Oryctolagus cuniculus: one gene and its partners. The protein of the gene in region 3 interacts with the protein of the main gene of each other region in a pairwise test. Links are inferred from orthologs where the notes say so. Each region holds a gene or a part of one and is shown on either strand. Other genes may lie near its edges. The genes, in order: PAM16, PDCD7 and FEZ1.

Region 1 (8,076 bases), on a different chromosome or scaffold from region 3:
GGATCAGAAGTGGAGCAGCCGGGACTCGAACGGGCGCCCATACAGGATGCAGGCACTGCAGGTGGTGGCTTTCCAGCTACACCATGACGCCGGCCCTCAACTTTGCCCTTCAAATAAGTGAATTTTTAAAGTCATGCAGGAACTACTTAGAGCAAAGCAGTTTCCACCTTCAAGGAGCTGAAAGCCCAATAGGAGGGCATTCAGACACACACTCTAAGGACCAAACACTTCAGAGTAGGGCAGCCCCATCTGCTCAGGGCTGGCCACTGCTCACGGTGCTCCACCCAGCACTGACTGCAGATACACAGCCTCTGAGCCCTGCACTGAGGGAGCTCACAAGCAGAGGGGCGAGGTTACACACACCCTAAGGCTGTGGGTTCCAGGAGCTGGCACCAGAGGGAAACCTCGGGAACAAGCGAGCACTGCCGCCCGGCGGGATCCAGAGCCGAGCAAGCCCAGCGAGGGGCTCCACAGACTCCACTGGACTCTAGACTCCAGAACCGGCCTCTGGCGTCCAAGGACCTAGCGTCCCTAACAGGCGGGATGTGACCACAGGCCTGTAAGGGAATGCATACAGAAGTGGGTTTGGAGTTCACAAGTTAGGTGGACATTTCACTGCAGAAAGCCAAGCCCGGGTGGCAGGGGCAAGGAACAGCCGCGGCTCTGGCTCACGTGTGCGGGTGTGTGTGTATCTCATCTGACCCTGCTCTTCTTGCCTAAAGCCACTGCTACAGGGGACAGGCGGCTCTGAGGTCGAGCGCTGATGGCCAGCAGGTCACGGCATCCAGGCCTCAGAGGCCGCCTCCCACAGCAGCCTCATTCTCTGCTACCACGGCCCATCACATGGCCTTGTAATCACTGTTTTACTTTTCTGACAAGGCCAATGACTGATGCTCCACACAATGCATGCTGGGAACTGAAGCTTGGGGGCTGGCTTTGTGGTGCAGCAGGTAAAGCTACCGCCTGCAATGCCGGCAACCCATATGGGCGCTGGTTCCAGTCCCTGCTGCCCCACTGCTGATCCGGCTCCCTGCTAACGGCCTAGGAAAGCAGCCGAAGATGGCTCAGGTGCGTGGCCCCTGACAACCCAGTGGGAGACCTGGAAGCAGCTCTTGGCTTCAGCCTGGCCCAGCATTGGCTGTTGTAGGCATCTGGGCAAAGAACCAGCAGATAGAAGACCTCTCTTTCTGTCTCTCTAACTCTTCCAAATAAGTAAATAAATCTTTAAAACAAAAAACAGACCTTGGGTCAGTGTTATGGTGCAGTGGTTTAAGCCTCCACCTGCAATGCCTTAAAGGACCCAGTTCAAGTCCCAGCTGCTCCACTTCTCGTCCAGTTCCCTGCTAATGGCTTGGAAAAGCGGCGGAAGATGGCCCAAGTGCTTATGCCCCTGAACCCATGTGGGAGACCTGGAAGAAGCTCCTGACCCTGGCCATGGAAGCCATTTGGGGAGTGAACCAGTGGACAGAAGACCTCCCTGTTTCTCCCTCTCTCTCTCAGTAACTCCCTCTTTCAAATAAGTAAATAAACCTTGATAGATACATAGAGAACTGAGACTACAGAGATAGGACCTGGACAGGGGTCTAGGTTCCTAGCTTCATCCTGGCCCAGCCCTGACTACTGTGGGCCTTTGGGAAAGGAACCAGTGGGTGGGAGAGCTCTCCATCTCTTTTCCTATCACTCTGCCAAATAAGATAAAAAAAAAAAAAAAAAAAATACTGAGCACCTACAGCTAGGCTGCATGCCAAGCACCGTCCAGGCGTCATCCCAGGCAGTCCCTGTTACAGCCCCTTTCTGGCCTCGGCCTACAGGAGAGGAAACTGCAATCAGGGCTGAGGACTTGCCCAGGTTCACACAGCTGGCACGTGCGCACAGGTGGTCCCAGAGCCTGCCACGGTGCCCGCCATGCTGCCCCCCTTGAGAGACAAGACAGCTCCCACAGGGACCTTGGTGGCCCAGGAGGCCACCTGGGCAGCTCCCTTGACCACCGGGATAGTGTAGGGAGCCTGGCGCCCCACCCTGGGACAGCTGGAACCGCAGGTCACCGTGCCACGGGGCAGAGGGGGAAAAGGACACCTTTCATCCACGGTTCACTCTGTAGATCCTACAACAGTTGGGCTGGGCCAGGCCAGGGTCAGAAGCCTGGAACTCCATGCAGGTCTCCTGCGTGGGTGGCACGGACGGGCCAAGTAACTGGGCCATCAGCTGCTGCTCTCCCAGCAGCATCAGCAGGAAGCTGGACTGGCAGCAGAGGAGCTGGGACTCAAACCCACACTCCAGTGAGAGCTGCAGATGCCCACGCAGCGACTTCAACTGCTGTGCCACAACGTCCCCCGGGGTCCACTTACTGCTATTCTTCACGTCACAAACGAGGCAACGGCCAGACAGTGCGGAGGGTTCTGATGAGGCCCTCTGATTCCCTGGGGCGCGGGGAAGCCAAGACGTCCACCGGAACCGGAGTCTCGGCTCGGCAATTCTGGGCAGGTGACTCAGCCTCGGAACCTCAGTTTTCTCTGGAGAGAACACCCTCCTCACAGAAGACTTGGGCCCTCAGAAGTGGACAGGAAGACAGTGACGGCTGCCGTGCTTCGGGCTAGAAGGCGCCCATCAAACCCTCCCAGCACCATCTCTGGGCCTCACCATGCTCAGAGCAGGTTCCTGGGAGCCGAGCTTCGCCAGTGCAGCGACCACGGATAATCAAAGCCAGCAGCTGAAATCCCTCCCACAAGGCCCCAAGGCACCCCACAGTCCACTGACACTTAGGCCTGAAGGTCCCAGCAAGAGAAACCAGCCCACGTGGCACCCACCTTCAGGTCTAGCTAGCTAGTGAGCACCGGTCAGGGCCGTGGGGCTCCGACTCCGGGACCCACAAAGGGCACCACGGATGCTTTCTCCTCTGGGAGTGAAGCCATGAGGTCGGGAAAAGGGCCACGGACAAAGCAGGGGTGGGCTGCACTCGGGAACGTACAAGTGGGTCACCTGCCCAGAATTGCCGAGCGGAGACTCCAGTTCCGGTGGACGTCACCCTCGCCGCTTCCCCGCGCCCCAGGGAATCAGAGGGCCTCCATCAGAACCGATGTGGGGCAGAAGCTCCAAGGAGCCAGCTTCCAGACCCTGCCTGCCACGCTCCCAGCCCTCGGGGTGGGGCAGGGACCACCACTCGGGCACTTATCACAGTATTCCCAGGACGGCGCTGGTGCAGCAGGTGCCCCAGACACATCTGAATCAATGTGGCTAAGGATCGACACTTAACCAGGCCACCCACAGCTCTGCTTTGGCCATAGTTCTATGCCCCTGGATAGGGTTTCCGAATGCCCCCTGACCCCGCCGCTAGGGGTCAGCCCCCTCCCCAGCTGGGGACTCCGGTTCCCTCTCCCCTAGACCCTCTAACCCTAGGTCGGCGCTCACACCTTACTCACCCTCAATATCCGCCCCCCTCCCACCTGTCGAAACTCAGGACTCAGCCCTCGCCCCGAGCCTTCCCAGGCCCCTACTCATCCCTCCCCACGCCTCTCTATGCGTTGTCACGTCGCCTTGTCCCGTGCACTCGCTGCTTTCTCCCCCCGCGCCGTTCTGCTTGGCAGAGAGCGGGGCTCCCAGCTCAGCTGGGGCTCAGGCTGCGGCGGCGAACGCGCGCCCAGGACTGGCCCCCGACTCCGTGGGACCTGAGCTTCAGGCTGCTAATCCGTAAGACGGCAACGCCAGCAGCAGGACCCCGAAGAAGCCGCTGAGACTTCTCCACGGGCCGCCGCGTCCTCCCGCCCCACCTGCGCGGCGGCCGCGTGGGGAACGGACAGAACCGGCGCTCCAGCGCCCACCGGCCCGTGCCCCGGCTCTCGGCGCCCACACTTCTCGGTGTCTCGGGGCCCACTTCAGGTCTCCCACGTCCTTGGAAAAGCCACCTTCTCGACGGGGACAACACCGACGTCGCAGGACCCCAGGGCCCCGTGCCCACGGGTCTTCCCGCCACTTCCCCTGGACTCCCCGACCCTGCTTCCGGCCGGGCACACGACATCCACGGCGGTCGCACAGCCTGGAGCCCGCAGCCTGTGTCTCCCTCCCAGGCCCGGGCTCGGGCGCCCCTCCGCCCGCAGCGCCTCACCATGGCGGCCGCTCTGAGGCAGGGGCGCCGCTGCTGGCTTCCTGCCCCGGGGCCCCGGCTCAAAGGTCAAAGGCTGCTAGAGAACGCGTGCGCGAGGCCGCTCTGAGCATGCGCGCTGCTCGGCCGGGGCGGGGCGCCGGCGGTGACGTAAAGGAGGGGCGGGGTGCGGCGGGAGGCCCCACCCCCACCCCCACCCCGCGCTCCTCGGCGTACCGGGAACCGGGGACGAACCTTCGCTGCTCTCCGACTGTCCACGCGCTACACCAGCGACAGCAAGTGCACCTCGCTCAAACGTGGGGCAGTTTATTCCCTTGGTTTTGCAGGGATAGTTGGAACTAAAACATTATATGAAATAAACCAGTATATGGAGGAAGATGCCAAACCCTTGGTGCATTCAATAAAACGGGAAACTTTAAAAAAAAAAAAAAAAACTTTACTATTTAAAAGGCAGAGTTACAAGGAGAGAAAGAGAGACAGAGAGATCGATCCTCCATCCACTGGTTCACTCCCCAGATGGCCACAATGACCAGGGCTGGACCGAGCCAAAGCCAGGAGCCAGGAGCTTCTTCCATGTCTCCCACGTGGATGGCAGGGTCCCAAGCATTTGGGCCATCACTTGCTTCCTCCCATGATGCATCAGCAGGACTGCTGATCAGAAGTGGAGCAGCCAGGACTCAGCTCAGGCATTCCCAGCGCCCTGACATGGGATGCGAGTGTCCCACAGTGCCCGCCCCACACTCACCACTTCAAAGTGCACAGTCGAGTGCTTTTTTTTTTATTTTTTATTTTTTATTTTTTATTTATTTATTTATTTTTTGACAGGCAGAGTGGACAGTGAGAGAGAGAGACAGAGAGAAAGGTCTTCCTTTGCCGTTGGTTCACCCTCCAATGGCCGCCGCGGCCGGCGCACCGCGCTGATCCGATTGCAGGAGCCAGGAGCTTCTCCTGGTCTCCCATGGGGTGCAGGGCCCAAGCACCTGGGCCATCCTCCACTGCACTCCCTGGCCACAGCAGAGGGCTGGCCTGGAAGAGGGGCAACCGGGACAGAATCCGGCGCCCCAACCGGGACTAGAACCTGGTGTGCCGGCGCCGCTAGGTGGAGGATTAGCCTAGTGAGCAGCGGCGCCGGCCCAGTCGAGTGCTTTTTAGTATTTTCAGAGCTCTGCAGCCACCGGCACCATCTAGTTCCAGAAAACTCTGATCTCTCGGTGCCAGACACTCCCCATTCCCATGGCCCCTGCCCCTGGCCCTGCCCCTGTCCACCATTCCACACCTGCCCGTTCTGAGCACCTCCCAGAAGGCAGGACTCTTACCTCTTCCTCCACTCCTGGATGTCAGAGGCTTGGAAGGTTGTCTGCGGCGAGGCAGACACTCCCATGTTTGTTGATGGACTGTGCCCTGGACCACTGCCAGCCCCACCCCCACCCCCACCCCCAGCCTGGTGCCTTTGATCCCCCCCCCCCCCCCCGCAGGCTCTGCGGCCGGCTCTCCACTGGCCTTCGGGGCGCAGCTTTCAGCTTCAGGGTCACCTCCTCCGTCCCTGAACACGATGCCCCCGCACGGAGCCACTTCCTTTCGCGGCATCTGGACGGCTGCTCTCGCACACAGCCTGGGTCCCTGAACAGACGGCTGTGAGCGGAAGCTCTCTGAAATACTTGTCTCTCTTGTCCGCTACACGTCCTAGCATCCAGGCGCTGCCGGAAACCTGTGTGTCAAGTATGCAAACTCCCAGCAGCATGGGGCCGAGCCGGACACGGGCAGCCGCTCATTCCTACGACTGTGCCCCTCCCCTCTCAGCCAGCCCAGAGACCAGCACAGCACAGCACGGGCAGCGACAGGTTTAATTGCTGAGAACATCCAGGGCACCCGTGGCCAGTCCCTGTGGGGCTCCTACCCTCTGGCTGGACCAGTGCCTCTGAGATGTTTCTCTCCTGATGAGCCTGGGGAAAAGGACAACTGGTCCCCGGCCCCTGAGGCTGGTGCTGCTCCAAAAGGCATGGTGGGGGGCCAGCCCCCAAGGTCCTTGATGAACTGGGGCAGCGGGCAAGATGGGATGGCAGGTGGTAGCCCGAGGTGCCGGCCGAGGCCTGCCCAGGCTGGGATCAGCCCAGACCAGTAGGAGGGCGGGGGAGATGAGGAGCCCAGGGCCTGCCCAGGACCGTGCTGTGGACCCCCCACCCTGCACCCTTGGCTCCACATGCTAGCAGGCAGCTGAAGTGAGGCAGCCAGGCCCAGAGAAAGCAGAGGTGCAAGACAGTCCACAGGGGTGCAGGAGGCCCAGGGGCCAGGGGCTTCTGGGCTGCGGCATGCCAGGCCAGGGAGGCGTCTTCCAGTTTGAGTGAGATGTGGGGTGTGGTTCTGGGACACGGCAGCAGCAGGTGAGGCCGGAGCTGATGGTGGGTCAGCTAGTCCTGGGGGCACAGACCAGGCAGTGGGAGGGAGGTAAGGGTGCCGTGGCAGGGAGGCGGCGCACTCTGCGTGGGGGTGGGGGGAGCCGGGCGCACTGGCCACTCACCCACTCGTCCTCGTCCACGCCTTCGAAGGAGTCCTGTGGCAGCGGGTCCTCCCGGTTCCCCAGCTTGGCCACCATGGCGCTCAGCAGCTGGGGGGAAGGAGGAGGGTCAGACCGAGGGATGGGGGGGGCCCAGAGCATCAGGCCCCATGGCTACAGCCCCGGCCATGCTGTGAGGAGCCATTTCAATGAGGGTCCCAGCAAAGCTTGTAGGGGGGCCAGCATCGTGGTGTAATGGGTTAACAGCTGCCTGCAATGCGGGCATCCTACACGGGTGCTGGTTCAAGTCCCAGACGTTCTACTCCAATCCAGCTCTCTGCTATGGCCTGGGAAAGCAGCAGAAGATGGTCCAAGTCCTTGGGCCCCTGCACCCACATGGAAGGCCCAGAAGAAGCTCCTGGCCCCTGGCTCCTGGCTTCAGCCTGGCCCAGCCCAGCTGTTGTGCCATTTGGAGAGTGAACCAGTGGATAGATCTCTCTCTCCATTTCTCCCTCTCTCTCTCTGTAACTCTCCCTTTCAAAAAATAAAATAAATCTTAAAAGAAATAAGAATAAAAACAGAGAAAAAGCACAAAGGTCATGGGTTTTCACTGAAAAAGGTGTGGAGACACAGAGGCAGGGCCAGAGCTGGAGGCTGTAGCACGTGGCTCCAGACACAGGGGCCGGCATCTCCAGTCAGTGCCTCGGACGCTCGGATGCACACCAGGACCCCACACGCACCTGGGTCCCCAACCTTTGGCTTTGCTCGGGTTGGGCGGCCTGGCCAGGGGAGGCCTCTCACTGCGCCCCACCCTGCCAGCTTCCTGTGGTCCTGGGTGCGGGGGCAGGCAGGGGGGACGGGGAGGGGGAGAGGCAACAGCAGGTCAGCAGACCAGCAGTGGGGTTCTGGGTCTCCCTACTGAGCTCTGGCATGGAGGCGGTGTGACGCCTGGCTCCATTCCCAGCCTGGGTCAGGGCTGGAGAAGTGGACAGTCAGGCGCAGCAGGGACCCAGCCCTCTCCGCTGCCTACCTCTTCCTTCTTCTGCTGGTCCGACTTCTCCTCCAGGTACTGTGCAGAGGATGGGCCCCGCCGGGCAGGGGCCTCGCGGGGGGCTTGGCTCACTTGGGCAGAACAGGGACAGGCCTCAGTCAGTCCCCTGGGTGGACTGCTTGGTGCCCGCCCCAGGCGATTCTGTGGCAGAGACCCAAGAGGTGGCTCTAACAGTGACCGGACCCTCTGGGCACCAGGGTGTGCCTGTGTGTGCGCCACAATGTGTGGGTGCGATGGAGACACGGCCACCCCATCCTTGGGAATGCCAGAGGCCTCTGTGCCAGCAGGCATGGACAACTGGACTTGGGCCTTCAGCCCCTTTCTCCTACCCCCAAGCCCCCCGCTTCCTCCCCCGACCCAGTCCCTCATTCCACCTGGGGTCATGCCGGGGGGCTGCAGGCTGAGCATCCGGGGCTGCCCATCAGCGCCTCC
Region 2 (8,147 bases), on a different chromosome or scaffold from region 3:
TATCATTATTATGGTTTTTCTGATGAGGAAACCAAGGCACAGAGAAGGCGCCTGCCCCAGATTACACAATTTCTCTGAGCCGCTGACCTCTCTTGGTCTATGATCTTTTCATCTACTTTGCTTTCGAATTACAAAGAGAATTTGTCTTTTTGGCTCCCATCTCTTACGATACAACCTGCTGAAAGTCATTCCAGGGGCTGGCATTGGGGAGCAAGAGGTTGGGGCTCCATTAGAAGGTACTATCACTCATTCAGTAGACCAGGTTAGAACCTGGAAGTCATTTGTTTCCTTCAGCGTTCATATGCTGAGTTCCCGTAAGTTATTTAGGCTCCCATTCTCCTTTCATTATCTTTTAAATTCATTTACTGCCTCCAACTCACTCTCATACTATCCAGCCCTACCCAGACAACAGCTTTCCCAGCCTCTCCCCTCTCCCCTCTGCCTCCTCAGCTCTGGCACTGAACTCTGTCATCATTTCACTTTCTGTCTAAGATCTCTGAGTGGTTCCCCACAGCTTTAAGTACAAGCGAGAATTCTAGTGTGGCCCATGAAACAGTCTGTGAAGTGGTCATGCTTAGATGTCCAGCTGCACCTATCAGCACTCAGGGGTTGGGGGAGGGGGGTTTGACTCCAAGGCCAGGATGGGAAGTAGCCACGCTGAAAGCTGTCGTACTGCTCAGTGAACAAGCTGGCTGAATGCACAAGGGTCACATTCCAAAACTTTATGAGGGATCGAAGAGAACTGCAGTTTTCACTGATATGAGGGTATTTCAAAAAGGCTGTGGTAAATGCAACTGAAAGCTTATTTTGGGGGAAGGTGTGTAACACAGCAGTTAACTTGCTGTTTGGGATGCCCATCTCCCATACTGGAGTGCCTGGTTCAAGTCCTGGCTACTTCACTTCTGACTCAGCTTCCTGCTAATGTACACCCTGGGAGGCAGCAGGCGACAGCTCCAATAATAGGTCCTCCAATACATGTGGGAGGCTGGAACCGAGTTCTTGGCTCCTGGCTTCAGCCTGGCCTAGCCCTGGCAGTTGTAGGCATTTGGAGAGTGAACCAGCGATGGATGATCTCTTTCCACATGTCTCTCTCTGCCTCTCAAATAAAAATGAAAATAAATACCTTGAGAAGTTTACTTTGGTATAAAAAAATTTCCAAGGTCATACATACAAGGGTATCTTCAAAAAGTTCATGAAAATGCATATTATGGGAACATTATGCTTGGATTTCAAAACAATTTTTGTATAAAAATAAAACATCTTAATTCCATTTTCCACTAACTTTCTGAAGTACCCTCACATTTTAAACCACACAGAGGAAATCACCTGCTACAACAGCACTTGTTAATTCGTATACTTCCAAATCTCCCTGGCAAATGTCAGAGGCCTAGAACCTACTAAATAAGGCAACATGGGACAAACCAAGCACAAATGGAGTGTGAGGTCACTGCGGCCCGACCAAGGAGGGAGGAGGCCGCACGGTATTCAGTTCTGAATCACGGGGAGATCTTCAAATGGCAAAGACGGGACTGAGGGCCTTGCAGACAAATGCACTGGCAAGAACAAGGATCCACACATGCAAGCGGAAGGCACGCCTGGGTGACTTCTAGAAAACCAGCATGCCTAGAACAAACTTCTGTGAAGAAACTTGGACTGCCCCGCTAGGGTGCTGGTGCTCCCTCCTCTGAGCCCAAAAGCAACAATCAGGGAAGCTGGGGACATCCGTGCATTCTGCAATGTATTCCACCCTGTCCAGCTGGCCACGCCTCTTCACACCGCAGTAACTCAGGCATGAGATGTAGCCGAAGGAGCACATTACGTTTCCAACACTTTGTGGAGCAACAAGGGCGGGCAGGAAAGCTTGTGCCGTGGCCCGCTGGCAAAGCTGACCAGCCACAACAAGCCCATTCAGAAAAGCGTGGCCACTGACGCCTGGGGTAGGAACGGTGAGTCAAGGGGTTCCCACACCTGCCTCCCCTTCCAACCTTGCTGTCCAAGGGCTAAACATCTTCCAAGGCTTTCGGCTCCCAGTGACTCTAAAGAGTGAAAATAATAAAGTATTTTTCTTCCAAAAATGTTGGGGTGGGAAGCCACTAGGGTAAAAAAAAAAAAAAAAAAAGAAAGAAAGAAAGAAAGAAAAAAGGTGTGTGTGTGGGGGGGACGCAAAGCCACAGCTACCTTTCCTTGCTGCAGCCTCTTTCCTCAGTTTCCTCAGTTTCTCCAAAGCCCGAAGAATGTCCACCATTCGCTTGGTGTCTGCTTGCTTCTTCCTCACCTCAGATAAGACACCATCAGCTGCAGCTTTGAGTTCCTGCTCCTGTAGGGGAAACACGGCTGTGAGCCTAGCGCCAGGAACACACTCCCAGCAGAGTGGCTGCCTGGTGGTGAGATCTGGGGGGATCAGCCAGTCCCTGGGGCAAGACCCGCTGAGTCTACATCTCAATTTCCGGGGCCTGACACAACTTCCCTCCACAACGTTCCAGCCAAGGGGCTCCCTGCTCCACGGAGGGACAGTAACCGTCATCCCAAAGATGAACCTCTGCTCTCGGCAGCTTCGCCACAGGCACTGCTCTGGCTCAGCCTCAGTGCTTCTGAAAGGGCAGTGCAGGGAACATCTGCACCCAACTGTCCTGATGATTCGGATTCTCAGAGACAGAAGGATTGGGGCTGGGGAGGCCCAGAACTCTACCAAGGTGTCTGAGCGATGACCAATATAGCCCTAAAGCCCCACGGATCTCTTTCACGTGGCCCCCTCACAAACACCGAAAAGACCACTATTCCATTCTTTCCGACTTGGTTCCCGTGGGATATAATAACCCAGTTCCTTAAGTCATTCCTCAGGCTCCAACACGTGGTGGACAGCAGGAAGGACCCGCCTGCTGGGCTCTGTCCCACAAGTCAAGTAAGCGCCTGTAATTCCCCCACCACCACCCCCACCACGCTGCTTCACTCCTCTGTTTGGTTGACTTCTGCCTGGAGCCGCACCTGTTGCTTTCATTTGGCTCTGACATTTCCTCCAAGGCTCATCTCAGATGCCATTAAATCATCGAGAAAGCCTTTCCCCCAAGGCTTAAGTACCCCTTTTCTGGGCTCCTATAGCATCACACACCATGCTGTACTGACAGGATCCCCCATGGGGCTCTAAGACCCTCAAGGGCCAGGGCTATATCCTATTCATCTCCATTCCTAGCAGCTGCACTGGACCTGCCACAACAGAGCCCCATGAACTGTCCACTGGACTGACTTGTGCCTCCTTTACAGCAATGAGAGCAATGCTAAAGCTCCCATCAGTACACTTAAGAGTGAAGTTACACCAGACTCCAGGGCAGGAAGACACTAGCCGATGGTGGGGAGGGAGGGACCCCAGAAGCCTTCAAAGTTGGTGAAATGCATTCAACAACTATTTGGCCAGTTTCCACTTCTCTGCAGGCCTTACTGAAGTGCTTGAGAGCCACAGGCTTGGTAATCAGAGCACCTGGGCTCACAGTCCGGTCACGTGACTGTTGGCAAGTTAACCTCTCTATGCCTCAAATGCCTAATGGTGAAATTGGGATAATTCTCCCTACCCCACAGGATTGGTATATTCGAGATCTGGTGTGTAACAAGCTTAGCATTGCGCCTCATGCGTACATGATAGTAAGCACTCAAAAACACCACTGCTGAACCTGGTGATTCATGGTTTAAACGTCGTAAACAAAGGAATCCTGCGGCAATCACTGTGAACCCATCAGCCAATCAGGACGTACGTTCCTCGAGGTAAAGCCCCAAGTTCCCTATATTTTTTTGTCCTTTAAATCAGCGCGGGTGGCACGCAGCCAGCCCCGTGTGGGTCGTGAAAGCTCAGTGGAGAGAACGTTGGAGCAGGCCACAAGGGACCTGTCGGCCAGCGACGCCACTGCGAAGTCCCATACCTGTGTCGCCAGGACTTTATTGCAAACACTACTAGAGCTTTTGTTTTGTGTTCTGCACACCAGGAATACCCAATGAACACGGACGTACGAGGCGGGAAGGCTATCTTTTCACTTTATGGCTAAAGAAACATTCGGGTTAGACCTGAAAAATACCACAGCTGAAAGTCTCAGGCTGCTTCGAGTTTCAGCCACCACCTCCAAGGCCCGCACGTGCCCAGCGCTCTCACCCGCTTCTTCTCCTCCACCTCCTGCACGCACTTGACCCTCCAGCGATCAATCTCCTGCTCGCGTTCCACTGCCCGGGCCGCCTCCGCCTCCCGCTCGGCCTGGCGTTCCCGAGCCCTCTCTCGAAACCGCACCCGGCGGCGCCGGATCCTCTCCAGCCTCCGCCGCGCCTCACCCACGTAGGCGGCCTGGGTCAGCGGCTGCAGCCGCTCGGCTAGTTCGGCGCGCAGGGGAGCGGCCTGGGCATGCAGCAGGGCCCAGGCTGCGCCGTCGGCCTCGGCCTCACGCAGGGCTTGGCTCAGGTCGCGCAGCCGCCGCACCAGGCGCAGAGCCCCGCGCAACCGCGCGCGCACTTCGCCTAGGCTGGGCCCCGGGTGCGTGCGCTGGGGCACCGGGCAGCCAGCGCGCCGCGGGGTGCCGAACACAGCCTCTAGCCACTGCCGGTCGCGCAGGCGCTGCAGGGCCACGTCCCCGAGCACGTCGGACGGTGGCGGCACCTCAGGCCAGCGCAGGCTCCAGGGAGGCCCCGGGCCTGGAGCCGGTGGCCCTGGGCGCTCGCTAGCGTCGGTCCCCGTGAAGGGCCGGCACTGGGGCGGCGGCGGCGGTAGCGGCGGCGGCGGCGGCACCGGGAAGAAGGAACCACTGCCGCCGCCGCCGCCGCTACGGGAGGCTTCCGTGGGACCCCGGGGCTGCAAAGCCAGCGGAGGCTGGAGGAAGGGGGCAGAGGTCCCCGGGAAAGGGCCGGGCCGCTGGGTAAGAGGCGGCGGGAAAGCCGGGGAGGGCAGCGGCGGCGGAGGACAGCCGAACGGAGCAGGGGGCGGTGGCTGCGGAGGCGGCGGGCCCGGACGACCTGCGGAGAAGAAGGGCGGCAGGGCCATGTTCACAAGATGCTGAGAAGTGACAGGAACTTGGTTCCCAGGGAGCGTCTTCCGGGCGGAAGTGACGTATTTGGACATGCGACGCGGTGCGTCCTGTCTAGAAAGCCCGGCGCGCTGGAGTGGGCGCTCATTCAATCTTAAAGCTTTCGTTTTTCTTTTTCTCTCTTTCTTCATTCCTTATTTATTTATTTAAAAGAGACAAAGAGAGAGAGAGAGAGATCTTAAATCTGCTGGTTCACTCCCTAGATGGCCGCAACAGCCAGGGCCAGGAGCTTCTTCTGGGTCTCCCACGCGGGTGCAGGGGCCCAAGGATTTGCGGATCCTCGGCTGCTTTCTCAGGCACATTAGCAGGGAGCGCCATCGGAAAGTGGAGCAGCCAGGACTCCAAAGCTGCAGGCTGTGGCTTAACCCGCTGCATTGTGGCGGCCCCCAAAACTCTCCTTTCTTAATTACTGTGCTAGACGCAGAGCTAGGCGCCATAGGCACAGTGAAACAAAGACCTAGGGGTGGCCCTGTCTGGGAAAGAAAACCCTTTGATCAAGCAGTCATGCGAAGGTAGAAGTGTGATAGTACTTGACTTAGTGGAAGCGATTTGGGAAGGTTGCTCTAAGGACTTGAGGCTTCATCTGCAATCTGAAGGAGAAACAGGAGTTAAATAGAAGAGGGAGAAGCACAATCCCAGGTGATAGCACAGAAAGGTGTGTGCCCTTGCGGGCACTTTCAGATAATGCCAGTGTGGATGGAGCACTAAGAACAACAGGAAACCACTGACTTGAAACAGGAGGTGAAGGAAGGCCGTACAACGTGATTGTATTTTAAACATAATTTGAGAATTGTGGATTCCTGGGCAGTTTTAAGAAGCAATACAGGGGGGCCGGCGCTGTGGCATAGCGGGTAAAGCTGCCTCCTGCAGTACCGGCATTCCATATGGGCGCCAATTCAAGACCCAGCTGCTCCACTTCCAATCCAGCTCTCTGCTGATGGCCTGGGAAAGCAGTAGAAGATGGCCCAAATGCTCAGGCCCCTGGGAGAGAGACCTGGAAGAAACTCCTAGCTCCTGGCTTCGGATCGGTCCAGCTCTGCGACCATCTGGGGAGTGAACCAGCAGATGGAAGACCGACCTCTCTCTCTCTCTCTCTCTCTCTCTCTTTCTCTCCCTGCCCTCTCTATAATTCTGACTTTCAAATAAATAAATAAATCTTTTTAAAAAAGGCAGCTATACAGGGAGATCATATGTATGATATGTATGCTTCAACCCTGGTGGAAACTTCTTGCAGAACTGTAGTGCAATATCACAACCTGAATCAGCCCAGCTCTGGCTGTTGGGGCCATTTGGGGAAGAAACCAGCAGATGGAAAACCTTTCTATCTCTCTCTCTTTGCCTATAACTCTACCTCTCAAGTAAATAAATAAATCTTTAAAAAAAAATAGGGGCATAACGGGTAAAGCCATCACCTATAATGTCGGCATCCCATATGGGCACCGGTTTGTGTCCTGGCTGCTCCACTTCCAATCCAGCTCCCTGCTGATGTGCCTGTGAGTAGCAGAAGATGGCCCGAGCTCTTGGGCCCCTGCACCCATGTGGGAGACCCAGAGGAAGCTCCTGGCTCCTGGCTTTGGGTCAGCCCAGCTCCTGCCATTGCTGCCATTTGGGGAGTGAACCAGCAGATCGAAGACCTTTCTCTGTCTTTCCCTCTAACTCTACCTCTGAAATAAGTAAATAAATCTTAAAAAAAAAAATAAAGCTGCTATAAAGCATTTTTTAGAGATTTTATTTATGTATTTATTTGAAAGTTGAGTTACACAGAGAGAGAAAGAGAAGCATGCCTGCATCCCAGAGTGCCTGGGTTTGAGTCCTGGCTTCACTTCAGATTCCCACTTCCTGTTAATGCAGAAAGTTCTTCAAGAAAAAAGGAAGTATAAACTTCACGTCTCTGGAATAAAGTGTCCAGGAGTGCAATTGCTGGGTCATGTGGTGGTTGTATGTTTATTTTAAGAAACTGCCCAGTAATTTTCCAGAGTGGCTGGACCACTTTACCTTCTGGTAGCTTTGGGATCCGCAAGTAGGGAGGCCTATACTTCCGGGAATGGAGAAGCCCCTACCTGTACTTGCAGGGAAGAAAAGTCCTTGTCAAGGTCCCCGCGGGTGCCTAAAGGTCAACCAATGAGGATCAGACCCGCCTCAACCTTTAACCCCCATGCCCTGAGTCTATAAAAGGAGCCCTCCCAACCTCTGACGTGCAACTTCTCCGGCCCCCGCTCTGTTGCTCTGTTGGGACCGGTGAACCTCGCCCGGGAGCGGAACCCCAATAAAAGCCTATGAATTAATTATCTGCCTGGGAAGATTTGTTATGCGCCGGATACCTTGCACCTTCCACCAGCAATAAGTATATGAGTGCTCTGGCTTCTCGGCATCTGTCATTTTGTGTTACAATTTTCATTTTAGATATACTGGTACATATGTAGTAGTATCTCAATGATCGTTTAAAAAAAATATTTGAGCCGGTGCCACGGCTCATTAGGCTTGGTTAGGGCACCGGATTCCGTCCCGGTTGCTCCTCTTCCAGTCCAGCTCTTTGCTGTGGCCCGGGAGGGCAGTGGAGGATGGCCCAGGTCTTTGGGCCCTGCACCCGCATAGGAGACCAGAAGCACCTGGCTCCTGGCTTCGGATCGGAGCAGCACGCCAGCCATACTGGCCATTTAGGGGGTGAACCAATGGAAAGGAAGACCTTTCTCTCTGTCTCTCTCTCTCTCACTGTCTAACTCTGCCTGTCAAATGAAAAAAAATATATGTATTTGAGAGACAGAGAGTTCCCATCCAGTAGTTCACTCCCAGAAAGCCCACAATGGCTAGGGCTATGCTGGGTTGGAAGGCAGAAGCCGAGAGCTTTGGTCTCTCCTGTGTGGTGCTGGAACCCAACTACTGGAGTCATCAATGCTGCGTCCCAGGATCTGCATCAGTCGGAGCCCTGTGGAACCCAGTCAAGTTGCCTTAACTGCTCAGCTAAAGGACCGCCCCTCATCATTTTAATTTATACTTCTTCAATTGCTAATTTTATTGAACATCTTTTCACGTTTGCCATCAGTGCACCCTCTTCATCAAAAGCATGTTTATGTCTTTCGACCATTTTCT
Region 3 (7,384 bases):
TCCTTCCTCTCTCTCTCTCTCTCTGGTTGTCAAATAAATAAATAAATAAATAAATCTTTAAAAAAAAAATTCCCAAACTTACATGGATGGCCCAGCTGCAGGAGCTGGTCTTTGGCCTATGTCTCTGATACAAGGAGGTGGTAAGGAAAGAAACACTGTTCACAAATGCATGCAAAAATTTGCTAAGGGCCTGGCATGGTGGCCTAGCAGTTAACACAAACAAAAGAATAAAACAGCAGGTGCAGAAGGGCACCTGACTCAAAATCCCCATGTGGAAGATCACCTTCCTATGCTAGCTGGAAAGTAACATCAAGAATCGGAAACTCCGGGCCAGCACTGTGGACAATGGGTAAAGCTGCCACCTGTGGCACTGGCATCCCATTGGCGCCAGTTCAAGTTCTAGCTGCTCCACTTCTGATCCAGCTCCTTGCTAATGTGCCTGGAAAAGCAGCTGAAGATGGCTCAAGTCTTGGGCCCCTGCACCTATGTGGGAGACCCAGAAGAAACTCCTGGCTTCAGATCGGCCCAGCCTTGGCCATTGCAACCATTTGGGAAACGAACCAGTTGCATGGAAGATCTGACTCTCCCTCTCTCTCTCTGTCTGTAACTTTGCCTTTCAAATAAATAAATAAATATTTTTTTAAAAAAGAAATTGCCAAAAAAGAGAGCTCTCCTACAGAATCAGTATTCAGGCAAGATGGTAGTTTTCCTTTTAAAAGGAATAAAACTTCAAAGTATATTCCATCCACGTGATAGAAGAGACAGCCATAAAATAAATGCTAACCAAATGTGAACTGCTGTGACTAAAATCATGATACAAAATTTTATAGCCAGGATAATCCCAATGATAAAGAAAAGATATAAAATATGATGGCAGGAAACCACAAAGGTAGCCACAGTGGAGTGGGCAATAAATTATTTTTCTTTGTTCACTTCTCCACATTTCCAAAGTTCTCTCCGTGATGGATGCACTTGAGCTGTGATTTTTAAAATCAAATCGAATGATGTCAACAAACCCACTCAAACAGAAACAAACCTGCTTCTTCATGAAAACAAAAGGGTTTCACACTGAATTCCTGAGCAGGTATCTGTAACAAATGAATAGCCATTCCTTTTGCTTAAGACCATGATGAAGTACTTCACCTCCATCAACCCTTGTAGCTTGCCCAAATTATTTTTCTAGTACGTACCGCCGTGAAAACACAGACACCTATATTACGTCAGTCCATCTCTATGTGCTCCCTTCAGAAAAATTATAGAGCATATTTATGTAAATAAAGGAGTCTGAAATGAGTCAGGAGTACAGCAATGTACTTGGAATTTAAAATTCCTGATTCTCAGGGATGCAGGTTCTTTGCCAGAACCTATGGCATTCACTCCCCACATGGATAAAAAAGAAGACTACTGGTCACCTTGACAGTGGGCCCAGAGGAACACAGGCCCCCGTCCCTTCCCACGAGCTGTCCAGTGGCCCCACGCGGCCCCTCCTCCCCCCAGAGCAGCCTGCGGGATACTGGACCCCCTCCTGAGCTGCCATTTTCCATGGTGCTTGGTTGCCAGGGAAATCCAATTTCCCTTGTGATCACAGAGCCCTGACCTAGGATTTTTTTCTTCCTAAGAGAGCCACGCTGATGCTGATGGCTAACACCACACACACACCCCCTGCCCTTTGGGGGAAGGACTGGTTAATGTTTATAAAGAGATTCTTGCCTATCTTTCCCGTCAGCCTGATCCCCACCACGAAACCTTGGTTCTTGGTAAAAAAAAAAAAAAAAAAAAAAAAAAAGGCAGTCAGGCCCATGGACTGAGCTCCCTCCTCCAGAGACACAGTGCAGACCAAGCAAGGGACGGGGAGGAGGGAGAGACGGCCGAGGCCGAGAGGAACTCACTGTTGGTCAGCATCTGCAGGTCTTCCACGGACGGGGGAGAGGCTTTCTTCTCATAGGGAATGACTGTGTTCAGGTACTGCAAGACAAACAGGGCACACGGCCAAGACGTAAGGCACGGCCCCCCCTCCCCCTGGGTGGGAACCGTGCTTTTCTCTAAGACACACCTGGCATTCTCCACGACCCTCGTGGTCACCGGCACCCCAGTATTTCAGGATGTCTCCCCCACCTTCGGGTGGGGCGCCCCTTTCACAAAAGCGAGACTTTCCTGTCTTCAACCAGGAACACTTCCCTGCATCCTGAATTCCACGTGCTTCCTGCCCTAGAAACTCTGGCTGTGGAGGAAGCCTGGGGGGTTCTCCCCTAGGCTGACAGCAGGCAGCATCTCCAGGGGGGTTATGTTTTCTTATCCTTTGGGGCGCAATTAGAGAAGGAATTGTTTCTCTTTTAGGTCAACAATTGAGGGGGAAGAGAACCTCCACAGTCCCAGGGTCGCCGATGTTGGATTTGCTCCCTCTGCTGGATGTGAGGTGTTCCTACAACAAAACCTGCAAGGTCGGGTTCAGTAGAACAGGCCCAAGAGGATGTCAAAGACCCTCAGGCCAGAGAGACCCTGATGGGTGCTAAGGGGGCCTGCGGGGGTAAGAGACAAGTAGCACAGATATCAAGAGGCTTCTGTTCTAGTCTTGGCTCTGCCACCAGCAGCATTGGCCTTGAGAAAATGTCTCATTTCTTTGTCCTCGTATCCCACCCGTAAGCAAGGAGAGGACTGGATTATAAATTCCTAAAATCTCACCCCAGATTGCAGCTCTAGAATTCTAACACCTAGGATTCAGCCACAGATATATTTAAAAGACATATACATTTCATGGGCACTTATTCCGCTGTCTCTAACTTGTCTGCTCCTACACTGGTTGTGCCGCTTAGCTTTTGCACCCCAGGAGGGCTGGGAGCAGGACCGTCACCTCGGACCCTGAGGGGTTCGCCACAGAGCTCAGCACATAACAGGCGTACAGTATCGTTGTGCAGCTGCCTTAATAACCAGGCACACAAGCTGCTTCGTCGGCAAGTTATTGACTAAACGGAGCCAACGAGGAGATGCCGCAGCATGGGTTACAGTCGGAGCAGGGTGGCTGATGAGGCAGTCTTGGTGGTATTTGCTCAGCTGGTGATCCAACGTGCTAGAATTAATTAAACTCTAGGAAGGGATCTCCCACCACAGCATCCTCTTTTAGTGCCTTCTGTCCTGAAGACAAATTAATTCATAGGTCTACAAGCAGTGTCAGACTGTAAGTTCTGTCCATGTCCCAGAATACCAGAGCTCAAAAGAAAAGCAGGGACAGGTGTTGGGGGCAACGGTTATGACACTGCTTGGGACACCCGCCTTCCACATCTGCTGAGCGCCTGTGTTTAAGTCTTTGCTTCCTGCTGATGCACACGCTGGGAAACAGCAGGTGATGGCTCAGGTGGTTGGGTCCCTGCTACCTATCTAGGAGAGCCAGACTGATCCAGGCTTTAACCTGGCCCCACCACAGCTGCTGCCAGCATTTGGAGAGTATACCAGCAATGGGAGGCTTTTCTTCCTGCCTGCCTGCCTGCCTCCCTCCCTCCCTCCCTTCCTTTTCCTTCTTTCCTTTCCTTTCCTTTTCTTTCTTTCTTTCTTTCTTTCTTTCTTTCTTTCTTTCTTTCTCTCTCTCTCTCTCTCTTTCTCTCTCTCTCTCTCCTTCTCTCTTTCTTTCTCTCTCTCTCTTTCTTTCTTTCTCTGTATCTGTCTTTCAAATACATTAAAAGATGGATAACTTTAAAAAAAGTAACGTTTACCTTTTGAAACGGTACTTTATATTCCAAGTGACACAAAATGCTAGGACCTTCCCCTTGCTGGGATACGCCCCAGATCCTGGGCTAAGCCTTGTTGGCCACCATTGCCACGTTGTTGGGGAGGCCATGTTGCAAGGGTCTGGGAGAAGAGCCAGGAGCGGGGAGACAACGCGTACCTGTTTGTCGGTCCCTGAGGAGCCAAAGGTCTGGCGGATGCCGCTTTGCAGGATGTTGGAGATGCCCTCCATGCTGAAGCGCTGCAGGACAGAGACACTCAGGAGGGACATGGCCTTGCTGCTCCCACCCCCAGGGACTCCTGTGTCCTCACTGAACCATCCACACCCCTCCCCTCCCCCGGCTACCATGCTGTCCCCTAGACTCTGAGATTTGGAAGTAAATTTAAGACCTTGGCTAGGCCGGCACCGCGGCTCACTAGGCTAATCCTCTGCCTTGCGGCGCCGGCACACCAGGTTCTAGTCCCGGTAGGGGCACTGGATTCTGTCCCGGTTGCCCCTATTGCAGGCCAGCTCTCTGCTGTGGCCCGGGAGTGCAGTGGAGGATGGCCCAAGTGCTTGGGCCCTGCACCCCATGGGAGACCAGGAGAAGTACCTGGCTCCTGCCATCGGATCAGCGTGGTGCGCCGGCCGCGGCGGCCATTGGAGGGTGAACCAATGGCAAAGGAAGACCTTTCTCTCTGTCTCTCTCTCTCACTGTCCACTCTGCCTGTCAAAAAAAAAAAAAAAAAAAAAAAAAGACCTTGGCTAGAATTTAAGCCTAAGCTTTGCAAGAATAGAGTAGTCTCAAAGACTCTTATCTTAGTAAGACCCTCAGGGCTACAAGGCTCTCTGCAGCCCCCAGTCTTCCTCATTTGATTCTCTACGGTATAAATAGAAAAAGAAGGCAGAACAGTAAAACTCAGTTGTACGATGATGCCGAGATCTTAGGGGAACACAGATCGTCTGGCTACCAGAAAGGGTTTAAGCATTTGTCCTGATCTGAGATGCTTCTTTCCAAAATGCACACACCTGGATCTAGGTCAGTGGCCCTGGGGCAGAGCCCAGGCAAAAGTATTTTGAAAAAGCTCCTCCTTAGGTGATTCTACTGCACTCCTCTGATGAAGAGCCAGTGGCTTGAAGAATCCCATGAATAAACCAATAAGGCACCAAGACCCCTTCCCTACCAACACCTTACCTACCCCTTGGAAGACCAACCCCTGCGCCACCCTTGATTAGACAGTCAGGGCTGTAATCTGTGCCCAATGCAGAGCTCCCAGGCCTTCACCCATCTCCAAGGTGTTGACCGCAGAGAACACGGTGCCACCTTCAATCACACTTCAATGTTTCCGCCCTATCTCCTCCCATTAGGCTGGGAGCCCTCTCTGGGAGTGGAGGTGACAGGCAGCACCTCTCTCTCTCTCTCTCTCTCTCTCTCTCTCTCTGAGTTCCTGCTCACGAGCCCGCCGTGGGGTTGGTACCAGGACTGAAAGGGCTGGGGCCGGGGACGGGCACCCGGCTTCCCGGTGGGGCTGCTCACGTACCTTGAGCGGCATCTGGCTTCCCTTCTCTATCCGGCTGCTCTGCAAGCTCAGCCCTTTCTCTTTCCGCCTCTTTTTCATCAGTTCTCGCTGCTCCTTCTGCTTGTTCTGCACTTCGATAAGCACCGTGATGAAGGAGTTCTTCACCTCCTTCTCAAACTCCAGCTCGTCCCGGCGGGCCAGCTGCTGCACCAGCTCCTCCGAGAAGTCTCGGATGGCCCCCTCCACCTGGTCCAGCAGCTCGGTCAGCTCTGACCCAGACATGTGCCTCAGCCCTGCAGGGGAAGAGCACCCTGCAGGTGACACGGCAGCCACATCCTGCCTGAGCCCACTGGAGAGGGGACTGCCCTTCAGAGAGACCCCTAACCACTCCTAGAGGCCCAGGCAAGACCTTCCTGATTTGAGGGCAGGCCAGGAAGGCAGGGGCCCAAATATCTGTGGAAGAGAATGCCATTCCCAGGACACAAGGAGGCAGGCAGCCTCCAAGGAAGCCTGTGGACTCTGGGCACAAAAACGTGCTGGACAGACATGAGGTTTTTTGATCTCCTGTTCTTCCTGTTTTCTCTCCATCTCCAGAATATTCCTCATGTGAAATGGGTCAAGAATCGAGGGAGAGAAGGCAGAGAGATTTTCTGTGCTGAACGGCAATAGAGAAGTGCTTATCCCCAAGAAATGATCTACCCCGAGCTGACAACAAAATCATCAGGCCTCTTTTCCAATCACAGACCTGGGCCACAGTGCCCATATTCAAATGCTTAGGAAACACAAGGATGGCCGGCGCCGCGGCTCACTAGGCTAATCCTCCACCTTGCGGCGCCAGCACACCAGGTTCTAGTCCCGGTAGGGGCACTGGATTCTGTCCCGGTTGCCCCTCTTCCAGGCCAGCTCTCTGCTGTGGCCAGGGAGTGCAGTGGAGGATGGCCCAAGTGCTTGGGCCCTGCACCCCATGGGAGACCAGGAGAAGTACCTGGCTCCTGCCATCGGATCAGCGCGGTGCGCCGGCTGCAGTGCACTGGCCATGCCGGCCATTGGTAAGTGAACCAACGGCAAAGGAAGACATTTCTCTCTGTCTCTCTCTCTCTCTGTCCACTCTGTCTGTCAAAAAGAAAAAAGAAAAAAAACACAAGGAAGACTGGCGATGTACAAGGGGAAATGAAGCCGCTTCCAGTCAGCACAGAGCAGTCTGCTACTTTGAGAGACAGGGAACTTGGAGGGGGCAGTGTGGCATAGCAGGTTAAGCAGTGGCTTGAGACCCCCTCCTCCACCAGCACCACCTGTATCAGACAGCCAATTCAAGCCCCCGCTACTCTGCTTCCAATCCATCTCCCTGCTGATGTGCCTGGGAGGCAGCAGATGATGGTGCAAGTACATGGGTTCCTGCCACACTTGTGAGAGACCCCAGTGGAGTTCTTGGCTCCTGACTCGGCCTGACCCAGACCAGGCATTTGGAGAAAGGTGAACCAGCAGATGGAAGATCTCTGTCTATCCCTCTTTCTCTATTGCTGTGCCTTTCAAATAAAGAAATAAATGCTTTTTAAAAAGAAAAGGGACCTGAGACCACCATGGGAACAGGTAACTTTAACTTCTTGTCCCCCTATGACTTCTTGTTTGAAAATAGATTTGGGGAACATCTCTTAAACGTAGTTCCCATTTAACGGTATCTTTTCTTTTTAACTGAGAACCCATTTTTCCTTTGCCTTTCCCTTTCTGCTTTGCCTAGATATTTGCTGACTTGGCTCAAGCTTCCCTTTATTTTGCTCTTGGGAGATGTCCTCCTCCTCCTGTTTGTTTTTTGCCATTTCACTCTGCATCTCAGCTGTTTCCATGGGCCCTTTCTGGACACTTGCATGTTTGGGGCCTTTGTGTGGCTGAGAATGGCCCGATTGGGGCGGCTGTGAATGCAGCAAGCAAGGCCTTCAGCCAGATCCACTGCTTTGCCCACGGCCGGCCGGCCTCCTTCTGCAGCCACACCCAGCCTCTGCTCCCAGAGCCACCGGGAGTGTCTCAGGAGGAAGTGTCTGAGACGGACCTGGGCCAGGCAGGCAGGCAGGGAGGGTCAGAGAGTGCGCCCTGTGCACCGCCCAAATCCCATTCAACATGGCTGAAGACCCTCAGCACGCTCCCTGCCCACCACGCAGCCAAGCCT

What was found.
Region 1: the proteins of FEZ1 (region 3) and PAM16 interact in a two-hybrid assay, tested with the Homo sapiens proteins (2 studies listed by BioGRID and IntAct). The link is inferred for Oryctolagus cuniculus from reciprocal best matches to the Homo sapiens genes FEZ1 and PAM16.
Region 2: the proteins of FEZ1 (region 3) and PDCD7 interact in a two-hybrid assay, tested with the Homo sapiens proteins (2 studies listed by BioGRID and IntAct). The link is inferred for Oryctolagus cuniculus from reciprocal best matches to the Homo sapiens genes FEZ1 and PDCD7.

Annotation. Positions count from the first base shown.
Region 1 is NC_091450.1:31,256,279-31,264,354, reverse strand, and holds the start of PAM16 (mitochondrial import inner membrane translocase subunit TIM16), read right to left. Parts: upstream 4,219-8,076; 5' UTR 4,106-4,218; coding exon of another isoform or gene 4,103-4,105; intron 2,550-4,102; exon of another isoform or gene 2,349-2,549; intron 1,806-2,348; 5' UTR 1,767-1,805; coding exon 1,731-1,766; intron 1,718-1,730; exon of another isoform or gene 1-1,717. Other genes in the region: CORO7 (coronin-7), read right to left, coding at 6,508-6,513, 6,618-6,704, 7,624-7,715, 8,019-8,076. UniProt on the Homo sapiens protein: Regulates ATP-dependent protein translocation into the mitochondrial matrix. Inhibits DNAJC19 stimulation of HSPA9/Mortalin ATPase activity.
Region 2 is NC_091443.1:88,136,147-88,144,293, forward strand, and holds the start of PDCD7 (programmed cell death protein 7), read right to left. Parts: upstream 5,065-8,147; 5' UTR 5,015-5,064; coding exon 4,139-5,014; intron 2,318-4,138; coding exon 2,179-2,317; intron 1-2,178. UniProt on the Homo sapiens protein: Promotes apoptosis when overexpressed.
Region 3 is NC_091432.1:118,688,752-118,696,135, forward strand, and holds part of FEZ1 (fasciculation and elongation protein zeta-1), read right to left. Parts: intron 5,514-7,384; coding exon 5,242-5,513; intron 3,962-5,241; coding exon 3,881-3,961; intron 1,966-3,880; coding exon 1,890-1,965; intron 978-1,889; exon of another isoform or gene 83-977; intron 1-82. UniProt on the Homo sapiens protein: May be involved in axonal outgrowth as component of the network of molecules that regulate cellular morphology and axon guidance machinery.